3 linked regions of the Cricetulus griseus genome follow. The protein of the gene in region 2 interacts with the protein of the main gene of each other region in a pairwise test. Links are inferred from orthologs where the notes say so. Each region holds a gene or a part of one and is shown on either strand. Other genes may lie near its edges.

Region 1 (6,368 bases), on a different chromosome or scaffold from region 2:
ACTAAGGCTGGGCATTTATAATCAAGAATAAGCCTGTGTGTGATTTTTTTGTTTTGTTTTGTTTTTGTTTTTCGAGACAGGGTTTCTCTGTGGCTTTGGAGGCTGTCCTGGAACTAGCTCTTGTAGACCAGGCTGGCCTCGAACTCACAGAGATCTGCCTGCCTCTGCCTTCCAAGTGCTGGGATTAAAGGCGTGCACCTCCACCGCCCGGCGGTGTGTGTGATTTTTTTTAAAAACTTGGAGGCAATTCCCCCACTCCCATGCCAAAAGAGTCAAAGAATAGGAATCCAACAACACCAAAAACAGGGTCTCAATGGTCTATCACTGATGTACTGAGTCATCTCTTCTATCCCAGGCACGAGGTACATTTTTGCCAAACCTCTCTGCTGCAACTGCAGCAAAGTGAGGGACTGGATACTGGATACCCAAATAGGAAGTTGCTGATAGGTTGACACCTGAATTCAAACTGTGTTACACAGCCATAGTGACAAAAGCAGTCTGATACTGATACAGTCTAGGGGCCTTGATCAGGTTTTCACTGCCAGTTAAAGAATTAAAAGGTAATTCTTGTATAATATATCCTGATCAGGCCTTGAAATTGTTGAACCAGTCTATCAGCCTATTGTGCCAGGAAGAAGTCACTCATTTTGAAATTTCCACCTTTATTACCATGGCCCCTCTCCTATCTGTCTACCTACTTACCAGGGAGTCTGCCTAACCCCTAACGTCTCAATACCTTTTTGTTTTGTTTTTCGAGACAGTGTTTCTCTGTGGCTTTGGAGGCTGTCCTGGAACTAGTTCTTGTAGACCAGGCTGGTCTTGAACTCACAGAGATCCGCCTGCCTCTGCTCCGAGTGCTGGGGTTAAAGGCATATGCCACCACTACCCTTCTCTCTGTCTGTCTCTCTTTGTGATAGTGTTTCTGTGTAGGCCTCGCTCTGTAGACGAGACTGGCCTCGAACTCAGAGATCCATCTGCCTCTCAAGTGCTGGCAGTTCTATTATATCCTAGAAGAGGAGCAGGCTGTGGGAGGGAAGAGGTAGAAAGGGGGGAGCTAAAAGAGTGTGAGTGAAGGCTGGAACTGAGAAACAGGTAGGCAGCAGTTCCAGAGCAAGGAAGGTCGGTGCCCATGAAGGTCTCAAAGCAAGAGGCTTCTCCTTTCAGCACCTACAGCAGTCCATGTTTTTTTTTTCTTTTCTCTAAACAAAGGTATTCTTTTCAAAGACAGCATTGGAATGGCTCAGTTAAAGGAGGGAACCAGTCATTAAAGAGAGACAGAGGGAAGAGTGGAGACTTTAGGGCTGATATGTCCAGAACCTGGGACAAGGGTGAAATAGCCTCGCCCTGAACTCTTTCCAGCAGTCAGTCCAGGAAGGCTTCTTCAAACAGGACCCTCTTTCTCAGAGCTACACCTAGCAGACAGGTCCGCTAAACACCTCGCCATAGGACACAAGCGTCACCGGGTACCAGGGGTTCCACTGCCCCTACCACCCAGACCCCGCCCCCAGCTTCCCGCGCCGACTCTCGCCCCCGCCCCAGACGCTCCCTCCCGCACCCAGCCCCTTGCCTTCTCCCGCGCGCGTGCGCCCCGTTCCCGTACACCTCCCCTGGCGCCGCTGCAGCGCGCGCGCGTTCCCGGCGTCACAGGCAGGAGCTGGAGACCAGCGATCCTCTGCGGGCCAGACTCTGAGAGGGCGCCGCGAGCTCAAGATAGTGGGACCCTGCGAGGCTGCAGTTGGCGAGGGCCTGGCCGCCCCTCTGCTGGCGGGCCGGCCCGCAGCGCCTCGCGTGGAGGCTGGGCTCCGGGGCTGAAGGCCATGGGCGGGAGCCGGGGACGGCAGCTGCAAAGGCAGCGACAGCGGCGGGCCCCGTGGGCGGAGAGGCGCGTGGCCCACGGCCCCTGACGGCCATAGCGGCCAGGCGTGCTCCCACGCCTCCTGGGGGGGGCGTAGCCAGGCAACGCGTGGCGCGCCCGCCCATCCCCCGCTGCCCTTTTTTTCCTGCCTGGGTACGAGGGAGCATGCCTGTGTCTGGCTTCGGCCAGCAAAGAGTTAAGTCGAGGGGCGTGGAGCTGCCTTCCTCTTGGGGGCGTGCCTCCCTTCCCTGCTAGGCGGCTTGGCCCCCCGCGGTAGGGTATGGCCCAGGGCCAGGTCCCGGGCCCCGCGGTCCCACGCACCGGCCAGTGAAAGACGCCTTCCTTTTCCCGCCCTCTTCTTTCCCTCGCCGGCCAGCACCATGGGATGTAATATGTGCGTAGTCCAGAAACCGGAGGAGCAATACAAAGTGATGCTTCAGGTAGGGTGCCTGCGCTGCTGGGGCCAGGGGCTCAGTCGGGCCAAGGAAAACTGTAAACCCCAGGGGAGGGCCACGTGGAGGCGGAGAAGCAGGTGTGGGAGGGAGAGAGCGCTCAGAGAGGAAAAGGTAGGGAGTCGATCTCACCCTCATATGATGGATGGTTTGATGGTTGCTGATGCCCTGTAGGAACCAGCCAGGGATGTAATGAACGGGGGAGATAAGTGTTCGAGACACATCACCAGGCATCCCAACCAGGTACATAAGGACAACGAACGTCTGTCCACATCAGCCCGGGTGGGAAGTTAAGGGAATTCTGTCTCAGGACTGAGAGATGCTCTGTGGCCCGTGCGGGATGAAGGTTGCATAGCAACGAGCTTGGATCTGGGCACATGCTCCCCTGGTTGGACCCAGAACCAAAGAAGCTGTAGCCGGGCGTTGGTGGCGCACACCTTTAATCCCAGCACTCGGGAGGTAGAGGCAGGAGGATCTCTGTGAGTTCGAAACCACCCTGGTCTCCAGAGCGAGTGCCAGGATAGACTCCAAAGCTATACAGAGAAACCCTGTCTCGAAAAATCAACACACACACACACACACACACACACAAAAAAAACTGTACAGTTCCCGCAGGCCAGAGGGAAAATCATGCCCTGGGAGGACAGACTCAATAAGTAGACAACCGAGCTGGGTTTGGGTACTGATTCTCGCACCCAACTCTCTGGTCTGATGCAGTCATGACTGTCGATTCCTGGCATCTTGGGTGACTGGGTAACGTCGGGATCGGTGGTGCCCAGTATTCACTCTGCCTGTTGGCATCTGCTTTGGCCTGTTGGGCCTTGGGTACAAGAGGGGCGATGCGAGCAACACGTGCAGGGCGGGAAGAGACACCCTGCTGCATCCTTGTTCTCAGCCCCTCAGCCACGATTGGGTTTCCTTGCCTGTGCGTGCAGTAACTACGTGAGTGCGTGCCTGTGCCCTGTCTCTGTGTGTGGAGGCTCTCCAGCTCCGCGCGTGTGTACTTTTTGTGTACACCCTGCGAGTTGTTTAGATAAATGTGTCCCAGATGGTGTTCACTGAGATGCACAAGGGCTAAGTGTAGAGAGGTGGAGATCAAAGGAAGTTAGGAGCAGGAGCAGATGTGGGCGCAGACAGGTGAGTTTAGTGACTTGTGCCTCAGCTACTGAGTTTGTTGATCAGAACCAGGGAACAAGTGTGCACAGGAGATGTTGGCTCTGAGAGAACCTGTAGACTCCTGGACTGAATAAAATAAACTCCTTTTAGGAACTTGGCGGGAGTAGCAGGGGAGATGGTGTCAATCATAATAGTGGGATGGTATTGAGGTGGCTTCGGGAGCCCATCATTCTTGCTGTGATCTTATCTTCATTTCTAGCAGGAATAGTAAATAATGGGCAAGAGATGGTAGGCATAGAGCCCTAGGTTGGTGGTGCTCTTGTTTCAGCCTGTTAGGGCTTCTGGTCTCTTCTACTTGGCTCTGGTCTCCCTTTTTCTGTCCTCCCTAATTATTCTCTCAGGCAAATCCTCCCCATCACTGTTTCTCCTCTCTTGTTCCCACTGTTTGAAGCCCTCACCTCCCTCACCTGTCTGTTGCCATCCTTCTAGTGGGATAAGAATCTGGAATGATCTAGCTTGGAACCGAAAAAGGGTTCAGTGAAACCCATTGGATTTCAGAACTAGGGCTACCTCTATTGGGGTTTTAATGGGCTTGAAAGTTGATGCCACCCTAGGTGGGGGAGTCCCTGCTGGACTTCTTAAAAGAGAGCCCCACCTCTCACGGAAAGGACTTGCCTTCCAGTAGGTGTCTGGCTAGAAGGGAGGCCCCTGCAGAGCAGCCTTAATCCTCTGTGCTCAGCTCCCATGGGATGCTACTTCTTTAAAATTAGGACACAAACTTTCATTTTCTTGGTTCTTGGCAGACCAGCTGGTCTTTAAAGGCATAGTTATCCTTTCAAATTAAGTAAAAACAAAAGGAGTGACTGTAGAAACTATGGAAAGCTGTGAAAGCTATTTGGTAGCCCAGGTGAGGAGCTTGTGAGAAAGGGATGTTCATAGGCCTCAGGAGAGTTCCCATAAACATGCGCACTTGCCCCATATTGAGTGCCCTTCTCCCTGTCTCTTTCAAAGTGACTTCATATCAACTCATGGCTTCTGCAACTTGCTGGTAGAGACTTTCTCACCATGACACACTAGAACTTAAAAGAAAAACATAGCTTTATTGACATCAAACTCACAGGCCATACAATGTATCTTTTCAAAGAGTACAATTTAGTGCTTTTTTTTGCCTATTGTGGAAAATGCTACAATGAATACTGGTATACAAATGTCTGAATCCCTCCCTGCCTTCAATTCTTTTGAGTAATACCTAAAAATGGAGTTGCTGCATCATATAGTAATTCCCACCCATTTCTTCTGAGTGATAGTACCATTTAACACTAACACCAGAAATGTATAAGAGTTCTAATTTCTCCACATGCTTATCAACACTTGTACTTTTCTGGTGATCGCATGTAGCTAGCTTATGGGTGGGTATAAAGTGGCAGTTTTATGGTTTTTTGTTTGCTAGATGTAGTGCTGGGGATTTGATGATTTGCATATCTGTTGGCTAAATGCTGTAGAGCAATTTTTTCTTGTGCTTATTGTTCATTTACATATCCACTTTGCAAAAGTCTGTCCATTGTGGTGGAGCATTCTAGGAAGTATTAAAGTTAGGAACTAGTTGGTCCTCCAACTTTTATCATTTTTAAAACATTTTATTATGTATACAACATTCTGCTTCCATGTATATCTGCACACCAGAAGAGGGCACCAGATCTCATAACGGATGGTTGTGAACCACCATGTAGTTGCTGGGAATTGAACTCGGGACACAGGAAGAGCAGTCACTGCTCTTAACCTCTGAGCCATCTCTCCAGCCCCAACTTTTATCTTTTAAAAGGTTGTTTTGGCTCTGTTGGGTCCCTTATTTCCTTGTGAATTTTGGAATCAGCTTGTTTTCTGAAAATTAACTGGGATTTTGATTAGGTGAAATTGAATCCATAGATCAGATGGTAGTATTGCCTGTTTATTTGGGCCACATTTATATTTCAAATATGGCCTGTTTAATTTGTTAAATTTATGTTAGGATTTATTATCATCATCATCATTTTAATTGTGTATGAATCGGGTGCCTTCAGAGGCTATAGAGGGCATCAGAACACCTGGGACTGGAGGAACCCCTGGAATGGCATTATGGACATTTGTAAGCCATGTGGGTGCCAGGAACTGAACCTGGGTTCTCTACAAGAGAAGCCAGTGCTCTTAACTGATAAGCCATCTCTCTAGCCCAAGTATCTTACTGTTTTTGATGCTATTGTAAGTGGAATTTCTATTTAAAGCAGCCTAAGTCTATCCCAGGTTGGTCTAGAATTTACTGTGTAGCAGGCTGAGCTTGAATTTATAACAGTCTTCTTGCCTGTATATGAGACATTATGTCTGACTCGGAATTGTTTTCTAAATTTCATCTTGTCTTTCTCATTGCCAAAACATAGAAATACATTTTTGGTTTTTTTTTTTTTTTTTGAGACAGGGTTTCTCTGTGTAGCTTTGTAGCCTGTCCTGGAACTAGCTCTGTAGACCAAAATGGCCTCCAATTTACAGAGATCCACCTGCATCTGTCTCCTGAGGGCTGGGATTAATGATTGAAGGCCTGTGCAGCCACCACCGACTGGCTGGAAATACATTTTTTAAAGCGGTGGAGGTGGAACCTAGTACTTTTCACGAGCTAAACCAGCCAATGCCATCCTCTCCCACTAGTTTTCTTTCTTTTTAAAAAATAAATTATTTTTGTGTTTTGTCTGTATGAGGGCATTGGATCCCCTGGAACAGGAGTTACAGACAGCTATGAGCTGCCATGTGGGTTCTGAGAATTGAACTTGAGTCCTCTGGAAAAGCAGTCAATATTCTTAACTGCTGAACCATCTCTCCAGCCCCCTCCCATTGATTTTCACATACTGATCTTGTATTCTGAGGTCTTACTTTGTTTATTCTAAACCCTTTTTAGTGGATTCTTCAGAAATTTC
Region 2 (6,350 bases):
CATGAAATATGTTACATATATAACAAGAGAGAATGAAGATGTATGTGGAACTAAGGTCATTATCAACTGGTTTTGAGATAGGGAAAACATCCAATATCCATGTGGGCACACCATAGCAACAAGACTTCTTCATCCCCCTGATGGAAGGAAGACAGGAGGAGTGGCAAGAGAGATAGACTAGCCATTACTGAGCTGGAAGGTAGACAGAAATTAGGAGCCCATGAATTTAAGAAGCCCTTTGAAGCTGGAAAAATAAACCAAAAAAAAAAAAAAAAAAAAAGACCCCACAAAACACACACAAAAAAAAAACCAAGGAAACAGAATGTCTACTAGAACCTCCAAAGAAGGCAGGCTCAACTAGACACCTTGATGTCAGCCTGATGACATCCATTTTATGCTTCTGACTCCAAGAACTTTAAGATGATGAATTTATGCTTTAAGTTGATAGTGGCAGCAATGATAAGAAACTACTCATTCAGTACCATCTTCCTTACAGATGATGCTTAGAGACAAGTTGTTCAAGGTGTCTGTCTGGAGGGTGAGGAACAGGCAAAATGTCAAGATTTATCTGTTGGAAACTGCCTATGTGAATTTCTAAAGGCAGAAGCAATCGACTGTAAGGAGATCTTGGAAACTGCCCATTTTTGTATGCAAGCACATAAACTCTTTTTTTGTTAGAGTTTAGGGCATTCAGATGCTCAAAAATATTTCACAAGCAAGGGTAAGACCCTTCACAGGCAATTCCACCCAGTTCTAAGCTTGTAACATTCCATGATGTTTTGAGGCAGGGAGTCTCAAAAGTCTTGATCCATCAAGACTTACAAAGTGTAAGGAGCAGATTCCTAAGCATCCCTGAGTCAACGTTTCAGCTAAATGTAGGAAAGTTCAATTTTCACAAATGAGGATGAGGACGGGGCAGAGAAAACAGTATACACTACATTGTTAAAGACCACTATCAAGGGGCATTTATTAAACATCATACCAAAAATGACTTAGGTTAATTCCCATTACCCACTCTTTAGGAACCCCAAAGCACCCACTTTACTCTATAAGCTGTGTTTTTGTTTTTGTTTTGTTTTCTGGGCCTCAAACACCTCTGAAAGTGTGGACAATGCCTATTTCACCAGATGGTGCTAAGAATGATGACTTACATCTCTAATGATTCTGAAAAACGTCATCTCTGTCCCTCTAAACCCCAGCCCATACTCACACATGTAAGAAAGGTCCTGCCATTTGATATTCTGTATGTTAAATAATGGAAGAACAGTGGGTTTATCTCCGAGTCCAATACCATTACTTAAGAGCAATTTTATGCAAGAGCTTGTATGAATCTCATGCTACATGTTTTACTTGAAACATTCTGGTCATGTCTGTGATTCTGTATTTCTAATTTAAGTCTTGTATGCTGCAAAGGAGCCATTAAATGGAATTAAGATTCAAGGTTTCACAATAAGGACAGGCCCTTTGAATGAATAAGGATGGGTAACAGTGTATGGTCATCTTTATTACGATAGAGATGAATGATGAAACTAAAGGAATCTGACATGTGACTGAAAAGGGTCTAAAATAGGGGATTTAAAACAGACCCCATCTCGGTAACATCTAAATAAACTCAAATTCCAAAGCAAGGTCACAGAGAAGCCATATAGCCCTGGAGGCCAAGGACCGAGTCAAGCTCTACCAAGTCTGAAGACGGTCCTTTGCCGCAAGGCTTGCCATAGGCTAATTCAGGAGACCCGTTCTGGGGGAGGTTGAAGGGAACGGGGAGACTCGGCACCTACACTCACAAAAGCGGGTCCCCAAACAAGAACACCCCGATCCAGGCCCATTGCTCAGCTAAAGAGAGAAGTTCAACGAGCGCCAGCCACTCACCCTGCAGCGGCTGAGCGCCATGAAACCACCTCCAGCTCGCTCCACGGCCGACAGGCCACGCTGCAGCACCCTGAGCCCGGCCCAGGCTTCGACGGCTGCCGAAGCCCAGGAGGTAACGTAGCAGCGGCAGGTCACAGCGAAGCCTCCAGGAGGCCGCCATCTTCCCGGCCTTCTCCGGGACGGCTTACAGCGCGGATAGACCGGCGGCCTCAAGGACCGCCCAGGCCCCGCCTTGCATGGGCTAGCCCCGCCCACAGGGCGCGCTCCGCACCTTAGGACTCGAGGACTATCGTTCTAACACCGCCTCCAACCCTCATGGGCACGCCCACCAGCTGGTCTGCGCCGGCGCAGGTTCTCCTAATGGACGAGGCCCTATGAGATCCCGCCTCTCGCTCTTGCTCCGCCCCCAGGCTGCCCTCTCTGCCGCTTAATAGCGTTCTTGCCAGGAGTCTTGGCCTGGAAAGAGCGCGCGGCGGGTAACCCAGCGCAGGTCAGGGCCATGTCTGGCTGTCACGCTCAAGGAAACTGTTGCTCGCGTCCCTGCGGCGTGCAGGTAAGGACAGCGGTCTGCGATACACAGGGTGGGGTTTCGATCGGGCATTCTAGATGCCTGATCCCCAGCTCAGTCCGCGCCAGTCCGAGGTCCCTCCTTACCCGTAGTGGGGTGCTCAACCTGAACTGCCCAGGCTCCTGGAAGACAGCACCTGTTTTTGAGTTGTCCTTGTTTGCCTTACTTGACATTATGAAATGGGAAATCGTGGAAGTGATTCTTCTTTAAGGCAAATGGGCCCTCGGGGTGCATGGGTTTTTCTTCCGGTTAAACACGCCACAGTCTATGGAATGCCTTCTAGGTGCTAAGAAAATGGTGATCAAGAGAACTAAAGCCCTGCAGAAGACTAAGGGGGAAGTGCACGGAATTATCTCCTTTTATTAGCCTGTATTTAGGCCTAAGGTCTCAATTAAAAGTAAAATACAGGAAATTTTTGGTGCAGAGAATTTGTGAACTGTTATTGTCTTTGAATAAATGGCTTTCCCCAAATTCATAAAGAAAACCTTGGCTGGGCGGTGGTGGCACAGCACTCTGGAGGCAGAGGCAGGTGGATCTCTGTGAGTTCAAGGCCAGCCCGGTGTACACAACAAGTTCCAGGACAGGCTCCAAAGCTACAGAGAAACCCTGTCTCGAAAAAAAAAAACAAAACAAAAAGAAAGAAAGAAAGAAGGAAGGAAGGAAGGAAGGAAGGAAGGACGGAAGGAAGGAAGGAAGGAAGGAAAGAAAACCTTGTAGTTAGGCAAGATTGAGAGGGAGATCTTGCATATAAGACACATTCATTGGTGGCCATCCCTAGGCAGGTGTATGAGGAAACTAGAAGCGAAATATAAGAATCATTGCTAAGATGTCTCCATAGCACAAGTGTTTAAGTCTGCCGATTAGTAAATCTTGGTGAAGGTCATCATAGACATACAGATTTTTATTTTCATCTTAAGTATTGTGCCAGGTTGGTAAGATAAACTGTGATCCAAGTGTGAATGAATTTACCAATACAAAAATTAGCCACACACAAATAAGAAGCTGAAGGTATTTGTCATAAACAGAAGAAGAGGAAGGTAGTTTCAGATAGTGATTCATGAGAAACTTTATGAATACCTAGCATTTTAGAATGACCCAGATTTTGAGGAAACCCAAAAGAAAACTCTAAGGCCACCTTGACTGGAGATCCCATCACATGTCTCTAGCTTTTTCTTGCTGTGTGGGGGTATGGACTCACTGTTAAATTCTGCCTTTTTAGAGGGAAACTAGAAAGTCACATTTTGTGTGAAATCTCTTGATTTAAAAGTGTTGACTTGGGCGGGGCAGTGGTGGCGCATGCCTTTAATCCCAGCACTTGGGAGGCAGAGGCAGGCGGATCTCTGTGAGTTTGAGACCAGCCTGGTCTATAAGAGCTAGTTCTAGGACAGCCTCCAAAGCCACAGAGAAACCCTGTCTCAAAAAACAAAACAAAACAAAAAAAGTATTGACTTGCGTTCTATGTATTGTATAGCTCAAATAAACTATTTGTGAGTCTGATTTGGTCCATGTCCTAGTTAGGGTCACTGTTGCCGTGGTGAAACACCATAATCAAAGCAACTTGGGGAGAAAAGTGTTTATTTGGCTTACACTTCACATCAGGAAGTATAAGGACAGGAACTCTTAACAGGGCAGGGACCCAGAGGCAGGAACTTACGCAGAGGCCACAGAGGGGTCCTGCTTATTGGCTTGTTCTTCGTTGCTTGCTCAGTCTGCTTTCTTATGGAACCCAGGACCATCAGTTCAAGGATGACTCCACTCACAATGTGCTGAGCCTTCCCCCATCAATTGCTAAGAAAAGTCCTACAGACTTGCCTTCAGCCTGATCTTACAAAGGCATTTTCTCAGAGAAGGTTCCCTTCTCTCAGATGAGTATAGCTTGTGTCAAGTTTGATGTCAAGTTGATGCTAGTTTGATGTCAAGTCTGTGACATCAAACTAGCCATCACAGACACATAACTACTTTTTCTCTTGGTTAGTTTATATGTCTTTTAAGACTTAGTTATGTGTTACCTGCTTGGAAGTCTTCACCAGCAGGGCATAAAAGCGGCCAGCATAGACCACAAGATACAAATTTGAACCCTTTGATATAAGCCTTTTCTTAATGTAAGAAATGTGATCTTCGTTCATCCAGTGTTTATTGAGGAAAGCACTGTAGTAGGTGTAGCTTATGAAGAACATGTTTCTTAATCCTTAGAAAGTTAAGCTTAGAGAGAAAACCCAGGAAGGCATCACTTTTATTTTTTTTATTTTGCCTTACCTATCATGGTGTCATATATAATGACTGTAAGGTTCGATCTGATTAGGTCTGATTCAGTTCCTTCTTTTGTGTCAGAGATCATCAGAAAAGTTATTAAGAACACATAGCACAACGGGGTTAGAATAGAGGTCAGTCCCAAGAAACACAGCAGGGTTTCCCCTCTTATGGGGTTCTGAAAACAGAGAAGACCCATGTGACTAGTAGGTATTTGCAATAAGTTTGCCTCTGATTCCCTGGACTGAGGACAGGGAAAACATTTGGTCCTTTATAACTTCACAATCACAGCAGAGTATTTGTCATTTCCCTATGGCCATGAGAATGATGGAGTCGCTGTAGGGTACCTGCTGGCAACTAGGAGGTGGAGGTGGGGGCAGCTTCAGGTGGACAGTGGCCCTGGTTCTGTACTAATGCTACAATCAAAGACCGTATAAATCCCTGCCTCCTGTTTTCCTTGATCTCAGCATTCTGCCAACGCTTACCTCCCTTCACTCAGTCCCCACAACCCCCAACTCCTGGCCATATCTGCCCTGACCAATCCCTATCTGTTCATCACACACACTTTTCTTTCTCATACCTATTTTTACCCCTATGTGCCCTCATTTGAGTATCCTTTACACTGTGTGGCAACTAGTACCGTTTCTTGAATTTCTCTTCCCTAAGCTGCTGAGAACTTATAACAGGGAAGGATAGGTCAGCTCTATGAATTGGTAAATCTACACACACATTATAGTGCCCTGCCCTGTGTGCTGTCCCTCTGGGGAGCTACCTTTCATGCTGTTTTAGGTGGTTATTCCAAAACCTTACCATCTCTCTTCATCTCATGCCCCAAACCTGTTGCCCTGGAATTGCAATGACGGGAAAAGCTGTTAGATATAAACTTTTCAACTTCAATGTCTTCCTTTTTCCATCTACAGTATAATTTTAAAGTAAAGGAGTGGGTATCTATATCCATATTGCCGGGATTTCAAATCTTAGCTCATCTTTTAGTATAATAGGGTCTGTGTAAGGATAAAGTAGCCTGACATACTGTCCTAACAGTCACAGAACAAACACTACCCTATTGCTGGTAGTATCATATTTACCTGCATCCTCATTCTTCCCCTGGTTGAAGTCAATTACCTCCCTGTTCTCCTAATCTCTGTTTCTCTTCCCCCACTCAAGAGAAGTTAGGCCTTAGCTCTCCTATGCCTTCAGTCACTTCTTGTCCTCTAACTCTGCCTCTTAGCATATGCTATCATTTGAATGTTGAATATCCCCAAATGCCTATATGGGAAAGGCTTATTCCCTAGGTTTGCACCATTTGGAGGTAGAAGCACCTGTACAAGATGGGACTAGTGAGAGATCCTATGTCATTGGGCATGCGACCCCAAAGGGCATGCTGCACCCTATGTACCTTCTTCTTTTGTCTCCTGACCATTCGGTGAGCCATTAGTGCCACTGTGCGCTTTACCATGGATACCCTGCACCCCACCAAAGGCCTAAAAGTAATAGACCCGGCTAATCATGGACTGGATTATAAAACTGAGCCAGAATAAACCTTTTCTTGTGATAATTGCCCCCAGGTAGTTTGTTACAGTGTCTCAAAAGCGATTACTACTACATATTATAGGAAATTGTTTGTATTGACTTATTCAGTCTGTTTCCTTACCTAGGA
Region 3 (6,338 bases), on a different chromosome or scaffold from region 2:
GGCCAGCCTGGTCTACAGAGGAAGTTCCAGGACAGGTTCCAAAACAATACAGAGAAACCCTGTCTCCAAAAAAAAAAGGGGGGTGGCAGTGAGATGACCTGGTGGATCAAGGAGCACGCACAAATGCCTGAAGACATGAGTTCAGTCTCTAGTACCCACAGTGAGAACCAGCTGTGGAAGTTGTCACATGCCATTTGAACACATTTTTAAAAAAGTATCAAACGGTTTGCAGTCCATACTTACTCCACATGTCCTCTACTCGGAATCAATGCCCATGTTTGATCAAACACACACCCACTCCCAAGAAAAAGAAGATGAAAAAAACAAATTTAACCCTCCCTGGAGTCTTCCGAGGGACTAGCCCAGCACCACGAATAAATCGCTTTTGGCGTCCTGGACGCACAGCACCTTGGGACTTGTAGTTTCGAGGGTCACAGATGTGGTTGACTACTAGCGGGGCAGGAGAGAAAGCTCTGCGCATGTGCAGGGCCGCTTGTCGCACGTGTCTTTTAAGGAGGGTTTCTGTTTATATTAATTTTTAGCTATCCTATTCGGGAGCTTTCCCTTGATTCTCTCAACCGAGCCTAGTAAGGGGCTCCAGTTCTTGTGTTTCGTGAGTGATTGAGCGTTACCGAGACTGTGCTAATGGGAAAGTGTGCTGAATTGTTTCTCTTTTCCGTTTGAGGTATACCTAGCCCTGTGCCTCACCTGAAGGTCAATAAAATTTAGGGCAGGGCTTGGTTGTCCTTTGGAATTAGTCCTGGTTGACTTAGTAAATATTGGCAGGGCGCGAAGACAATGAACGGGCAATATTGAGGTGTGCTAGAAGCCAAATTTTCAAAGAATAATTGCGATCTGTTGCCCAAGTTTAACTTGGACTGTCTGTAATGGAGCAAATTATATAATATCCACTGAAATGGAGGCGAATGGCAGGACAGAGCGAGCCCCTTATCAGCGACCGGACTAGGAAGGGAAGAAGATAGGAAGTTAGAATTGGGTCCCCAATTCTGGACTACTATGCTTTGCAGCTGGAATGGAAAAACAGTGCTCTACTGGTTTCAGAAGCATTTATGATACTGCCGTTGCCTAAATTCTCTGGGCAAGAGCTCTCATCTTACTTCTGTCTTCAGGTAGGGAAAGGGATTAGGTCTTCTGTTCGAATTTACTAGATCATTTTATTTGAAAAGTTATAGCAGGGGGCTGGAGAGTTGACTTAGCAGGTTGAGAGCATTTGTTGCTCTTCCATAGGACCCAGGTTCGAGTGCCAGCACAGCTCACAACTATCTGGTAGCTCTAGTTCAGGAGATCCATTCACTGCCATTGGACTCACATTAGGCAAAACATCCACATACATAAATTTAAAAAGTTATAGCTTTGTGGTTTTCCTAGGACCATGTAAAAGTGTTGCGGTATTGGACAATAACAAAGAACAGAGTTGCTCGTGTCTCTGGTATAACATCCACCTCAAGCTGCGTGTCTTGCTCTTTATTCGAGAGTGGACCGAATGCTGTATAAGGGAACTGAAGAGAAACAACCATTTTAGTTTTTTTCCAAGACAGGGCTTTTTTTGACGAAAGAATTTCATGTTATAGCCCAGGCTTTCCTGGGACGGTATACTGTTGCCTTACTCCCTATCTCTCTGCCGTCTCTCTCCCCCAGTCCTGAGATTACAGTCTTATGGGTCGCCACGCCGGACTGAGAACAGTTTAATTTTTAGAGAGTGTAGTAAGGACGCAGTTAGCTGGGGATTGTGAGATTCCTAGGCGCATTACACACCGGAAGCACCCACGTACTTGCAATTTTCTAGCTCCAGCAACAAGCTGCAGTCTGGAGGGCCGGAGGGATAGCCCAATGGTTAAAAAGTACTGGCTTCTCTTACAGAGGACCCAGGTTTGATTTCAGCATCCATATGGGCTCACAACCATCTGTAACTCCAGTTCCAGGGGGATGTCCAATATCCTCTTCTGGTCCCCACGGCACTGCACTCACATGGTTCAGGAAATACACATTTAAAAAGAATGGAAGAAAGCTGCAGTAAGAAAAAGGAAACGAGATGTTGGGAGGACCTAACGGCCAGAGAGGCCTAGAGGCGGCACTTATCCTGTCACGTGACCCAGCAAAGGCTTTGGCCACTCTGCCAGATCACATGGGAGTGCTGCGTCCTCCCATTGGCTTGGCTAGGCCAGTTTGAACGGCCTACGGAAGCCGAAGTTATTCATTTCGGCCGCGTTTTCTTTTTTTTTTTTTCTTTTTTCTTTTTTTTTTTTTTTTTAATTCCCTGGCTTTGGCTCCCTCCTTCCGCGCGAGCCTCTGGAGAAGCTGCAGCACTTAGGCGCCGCCGCTGCCTTCCGGGGCCTGGTAGGTGGACCTCGCTCGGCCGGGGCTCCTTGGCTTCAGCTCTCTCGAGCCTCCCTGGGTTCTGGGTCTGCGTTGCGTGCCGCCCAGGCGTCGGGGTCGCGCCCGGCTGAGAGGCGGGGAACCGGGTTGGGCCAGCTCTCGAGGCCGGCAGAACGGGCCGGGCGGGGGAGGGGGAGCTGAGCCGACCTCAGGGGGTGGGGCCTCGGCGCCCGGGCAGGTTTGGGTGCCACGAGATGCGGGCCAGTGGGGCGGCTGGGGTCGGGCTGGAGGGGCCCTGATTGGGGGAAATCGTCGGGGGACGTCTCGAGGATCGGGTGTGTGGGGCAATCTGTGCCGGTGGGGTTTGGTTGGGTCTGATTGGGAAAGACAGCTTTGAAAGTTGAGGGGGGTGGGTTGTTAGGTCCTGATAGGGAGGGGCGTCAGACTTAAAAAACCCAGAGGGCCTTGGTGGGTCTGACTGAGAGGCGGTGTTGGGATCCGTTGAGGGTAGCGCTCCGGGCGAGTGTTTGTGTGGGACTCTTTGGGGGAAGCTGCAGGGATTGGACAGATGGGGTCTCTGACACGCGGTGGTCGGGGGCTTAAGGTAACTTGATTGGGGAGCTGACAGAGATCCGTCAGCAGGAATTACTGCTGACTGGGGCGGAGGGAGGGTGAGAGCGAGAGAGGCTTGGCCAGATCTGATTGGGGCAGGCAGCGGGCACAGGTTCTGGGGGCTTTCTTTGGTCGCCGGCTGGGTGGTTTTGACTGGCTCTCGTTCAAGTAGACATTGGAGACCTGTGGGACATTGCTTGTATTCTGGTAAAGGGGAGTCACTGGGCCGCGTCTAGATCAGAAAGAGGGGCACGTGCGTCTGCCGAGCTTGTAGGGCAGGTTTAGGGGAGGTAGCAGGGGTGAGAAGGATCTAGGCACTTGGGACCTAGAGGAGCTCAGGAACCTAGGAGGCGGCTGGGATCTAGCGGAGCTTGAAGGCTTGATCTTGGGAGAAGGAATCCTCGTGGACCGAGCCTTCACCTGGAAGACCGCTGGGGTGGGGCCCTCCCCTGGAGGGAGACGGAAGCCGTAGGGCCCGTAACCGGGGGCGGCGGCATGGACCGCCATGCGAAGAGGGTTCCACGTCGCGCCCCCGCCACAGTTCCCGATGGCTGGCATTTATATCCCCCCGCACCCCCCGAGCCCGCGACTGCGTGGCCGAGATGGCTTAGCTGGCGGGGACCCGGCACTTGGACAGGCGCGGATCAGAGGCCTCCGCTTGCCCGCGGAGCGTGCTTGCGTCTGCATGCAGCCGCCTCTGCTTTGGGGACTCAGCTTGGGTCTCACACAGAACCCTAGCGACCCAGCGCTGACCCAGGCCCCTGCCTCTGCAGTTCGCCTTGCGCCATGGACTGGCAGCCAGACGAGCAGGGCCTGCAGCAGGTCTTGCAGCTTCTCAAAGACTCGCAGTCGCCCAACACAGCTACTCAGCGCATTGTGCAGGATGTATCCTTTCCTTCCGGAGCTGATGGAATAGGGCTGATGTCTGCACCTCGTGAAGGCTAGAGAGGGAGGGACCACTTCTTGTCCCCGAGACTTTGCTGCAAGAGAGAACGTGACATGAGATGAGAATTAAAGGCTTAGATCCCTGGGTTCCAGTTCCAGAGGTGCAAAAAATGATGGGAATGCCTGATGGTCACTGAGCACTTAATCCTTTAACTGTTAAGAGTGAGTGATGGGAACCTGGAGGCTTAGGATGGGGAAAATACCTTGGATAAGCCTCAGCTAGAAACCAAGGTGAGAAGCTCAGCCATCTCATAGATGGGGAGGGACGATGGAGTTGCAGCATGTTTGTGGCAGAAAACTTTTTTTCTAGCTGCTTGTTAAGTATATAAGTATCCTGGTTAGTTTTGTTGTCAATTTGATACATCTATGAAGAAGGACCTTCAATTGAAGAATTGCCTCCATCAGAATGGCCTGTGGGGCGTTTTCTTGATTGATAATTGATGCTGGCAGGCCTGCTGTCCAGCCCAGCCCAGCCCAGCCCAGCCCAGCCCAGCCCAGCCCAGCCTATTGTGGATATTATCCCAGGTTGGGTGAACCTGGGCTGTAGAAGAAGGTGACTCTGGGAAGGAGCCAGTAAACAGTGAGTCTGGGAAAGAACCAGTAAACAGCTTTCTGCTTTGGGACTTCTCTCCATGATAAGCTAAAACAAACTCTTTACTCCCTGCCTTGGCTCTTGGTCAGTGTATTATCACAGCAGCAGAGAAGCAAATTAGAATAATGAGTTCAGATTTTTAAATGAAATGGTCATGGTGGCATATACCTTTAATCACAGCACTCAGGAGGTAGAGGCAAGTTGAATCTCATAGTTTGAGGGCAGCCTGGACTTATGTAGACCCTGTCTCAAATATTTGAACAATATCAAGTTTTCACTTGAAAATGGGACAAGTCCCCTACCATTTCTTGTGGTGTTGAGGATGAAAAGGCCAGAAGCTTGCTGGCCACATATTTTCCCATTGAGCCGCATCCCTGAGTCCTGTTCCCTGGATTTTCAACCATTCTTTCTCCTCTCTTGTGGCTGGAGACCGAATGGCCTTGTCTATGCATTTTACCACTGAGCTGTATCTCTGTACTGCTCTTTTGAGTCAACATTTCTCCATTTAACAGAATAAGAACTGAATATGTAGCTCAAGTTGGCCTTGAACTCAGTCTGACCTTCCTGCCTCAACTTCCCCAGTGCTAGGGTTAAAGGCTTGTACCACACCCAGACAGCCTTCCATTCTGGTTGAGAAAAGCAGGCATCATTGGAGTGTCAAGATCAGAAATGAGTAGCAGCTGCCCTTTTAAGAGGAGTAGACTTTTCCAATCTACTCCTGCTCTGGTAAAGGGATGGTGCAGAAAGCTCAGACATGTACCCTGTACATGTATGGACTTGGTTCTCCTGAAAAGGCCCTGTGGTGCTGTAGGGATAGTGATTGATGAGTGCCATCCCTGGAACTGACTGCCTAATTGCATTGGTCTCTCACATTCTGAGCCGTGTGGCAGTGAGAGAATATTGCCTAGGAAAAGTTCCTATCTCTCGGGGTTTTTTTTTTTTTTTTTTTTTTTTTTTTTTTTAGAGCCAAAATCATGGGATATAGTCCATGCTGGCCAGGAATTCAAGATCTTGGCCTCAGCTTCCCTAGTTCTGGGATCTCAGGCGTGCCCCAATACACCTGACTTTCTAAGTCCCTTAACAGCTTGACAGAAACTTAAACAACTCAACCAGTTTCCTGACTTCAACAACTATCTGATCTTCGTCCTGACCAGACTCAAATCAGAAGGTATGTTCTCTGTCCCTCCACACTGTGCTAGATCTTGCTTCTTCTCATGCCACAGCCCTCTGACCTTAGCACTTTTCCCACAGATGAGCCAACCCGCTCTCTGAGTGGCCTCATCCTCAAGAATAATGTGAAGGCGCATTACCAGAGCTTCCCGCCTCCTGTGGCTGACTTCATCAAACAGGAGTGTCTCAACAACATAGGCGATGCCTCCTCTCTCATCCGAGCCACCATTGGTGAGGGGGCTGTGGGGGTCGTCATCAAGGACACACTAAGGGCTTGCTCTGGGCCAAGAAGCTATTCAACGTGTGTTAAGGGTGTTGCTTACTGAATGCTGAAGCACCCTCTGTGATAGCACTGTTACTACTGCCATCTGACTGGAGAGGAAACTGAGGCACAGAGATGATAAAAGGGACTTGCCTGGCAAGTCACAGCTTGGAAACAAGCCAGGCAGTGCAGGTCAGTCTTTTCCCCCCCTTTTTCTTTTTGAGTCCAAGCTGGCCTCAAACTTTCCAATCTTCTGCTTCAGCCTCTTAAGAGCCTCAGTAACTTGGTGTCCACAATTTTGTGACACAGTCTCAAACTATGTTTGAGGTTCAGCCATTGTAATACTTGCTTCCTGTGAACACACGGAGTCATTAGTACTACACCTCAGATGATCCATATACAGTGAGAATTAGTTAAAAA

The links. The genes of interacting proteins can lie anywhere in the genome.
Region 1: the proteins of Apip (region 2) and Pdzd4 interact in a two-hybrid assay, tested with the Homo sapiens proteins (2 studies listed by BioGRID and IntAct). The two-hybrid records come from large-scale screens. The link is inferred for Cricetulus griseus from reciprocal best matches to the Homo sapiens genes APIP and PDZD4.
Region 3: the proteins of Apip (region 2) and Tnpo2 interact in binary tests that used the Homo sapiens proteins (3 or more experiments, as listed by UniProt). The two-hybrid records come from large-scale screens. The link is inferred for Cricetulus griseus from reciprocal best matches to the Homo sapiens genes APIP and TNPO2.

Annotation. Positions count from the first base shown.
Region 1 is NC_048604.1:1,914,515-1,920,882, forward strand, and holds the start of Pdzd4 (PDZ domain-containing protein 4), read left to right. Parts: upstream 1-2,235; coding exon 2,236-2,295; intron 2,296-6,368.
Region 2 is NC_048599.1:74,576,781-74,583,130, reverse strand, and holds the start of Apip (methylthioribulose-1-phosphate dehydratase), read left to right. Parts: upstream 1-2,271; 5' UTR 2,272-2,371; coding exon 2,372-2,425; intron 2,426-6,350. Other genes in the region: Pdhx (pyruvate dehydrogenase protein X component, mitochondrial), read right to left, coding at 1,873-2,032. UniProt on the Homo sapiens protein: Catalyzes the dehydration of methylthioribulose-1-phosphate (MTRu-1-P) into 2,3-diketo-5-methylthiopentyl-1-phosphate (DK-MTP-1-P).
Region 3 is NC_048596.1:159,327,786-159,334,123, reverse strand, and holds the start of Tnpo2 (transportin-2), read left to right. Parts: upstream 1-2,205; 5' UTR 2,206-2,358; intron 2,359-2,549; exon of another isoform or gene 2,550-2,672; intron 2,673-2,789; exon of another isoform or gene 2,790-2,941; intron 2,942-3,020; exon of another isoform or gene 3,021-3,156; intron 3,157-3,722; 5' UTR 3,723-3,735; coding exon 3,736-3,834; intron 3,835-5,578; coding exon 5,579-5,654; intron 5,655-5,737; coding exon 5,738-5,887; intron 5,888-5,905; exon of another isoform or gene 5,906-6,110; intron 6,111-6,338. UniProt on the Homo sapiens protein: Probably functions in nuclear protein import as nuclear transport receptor. Serves as receptor for nuclear localization signals (NLS) in cargo substrates.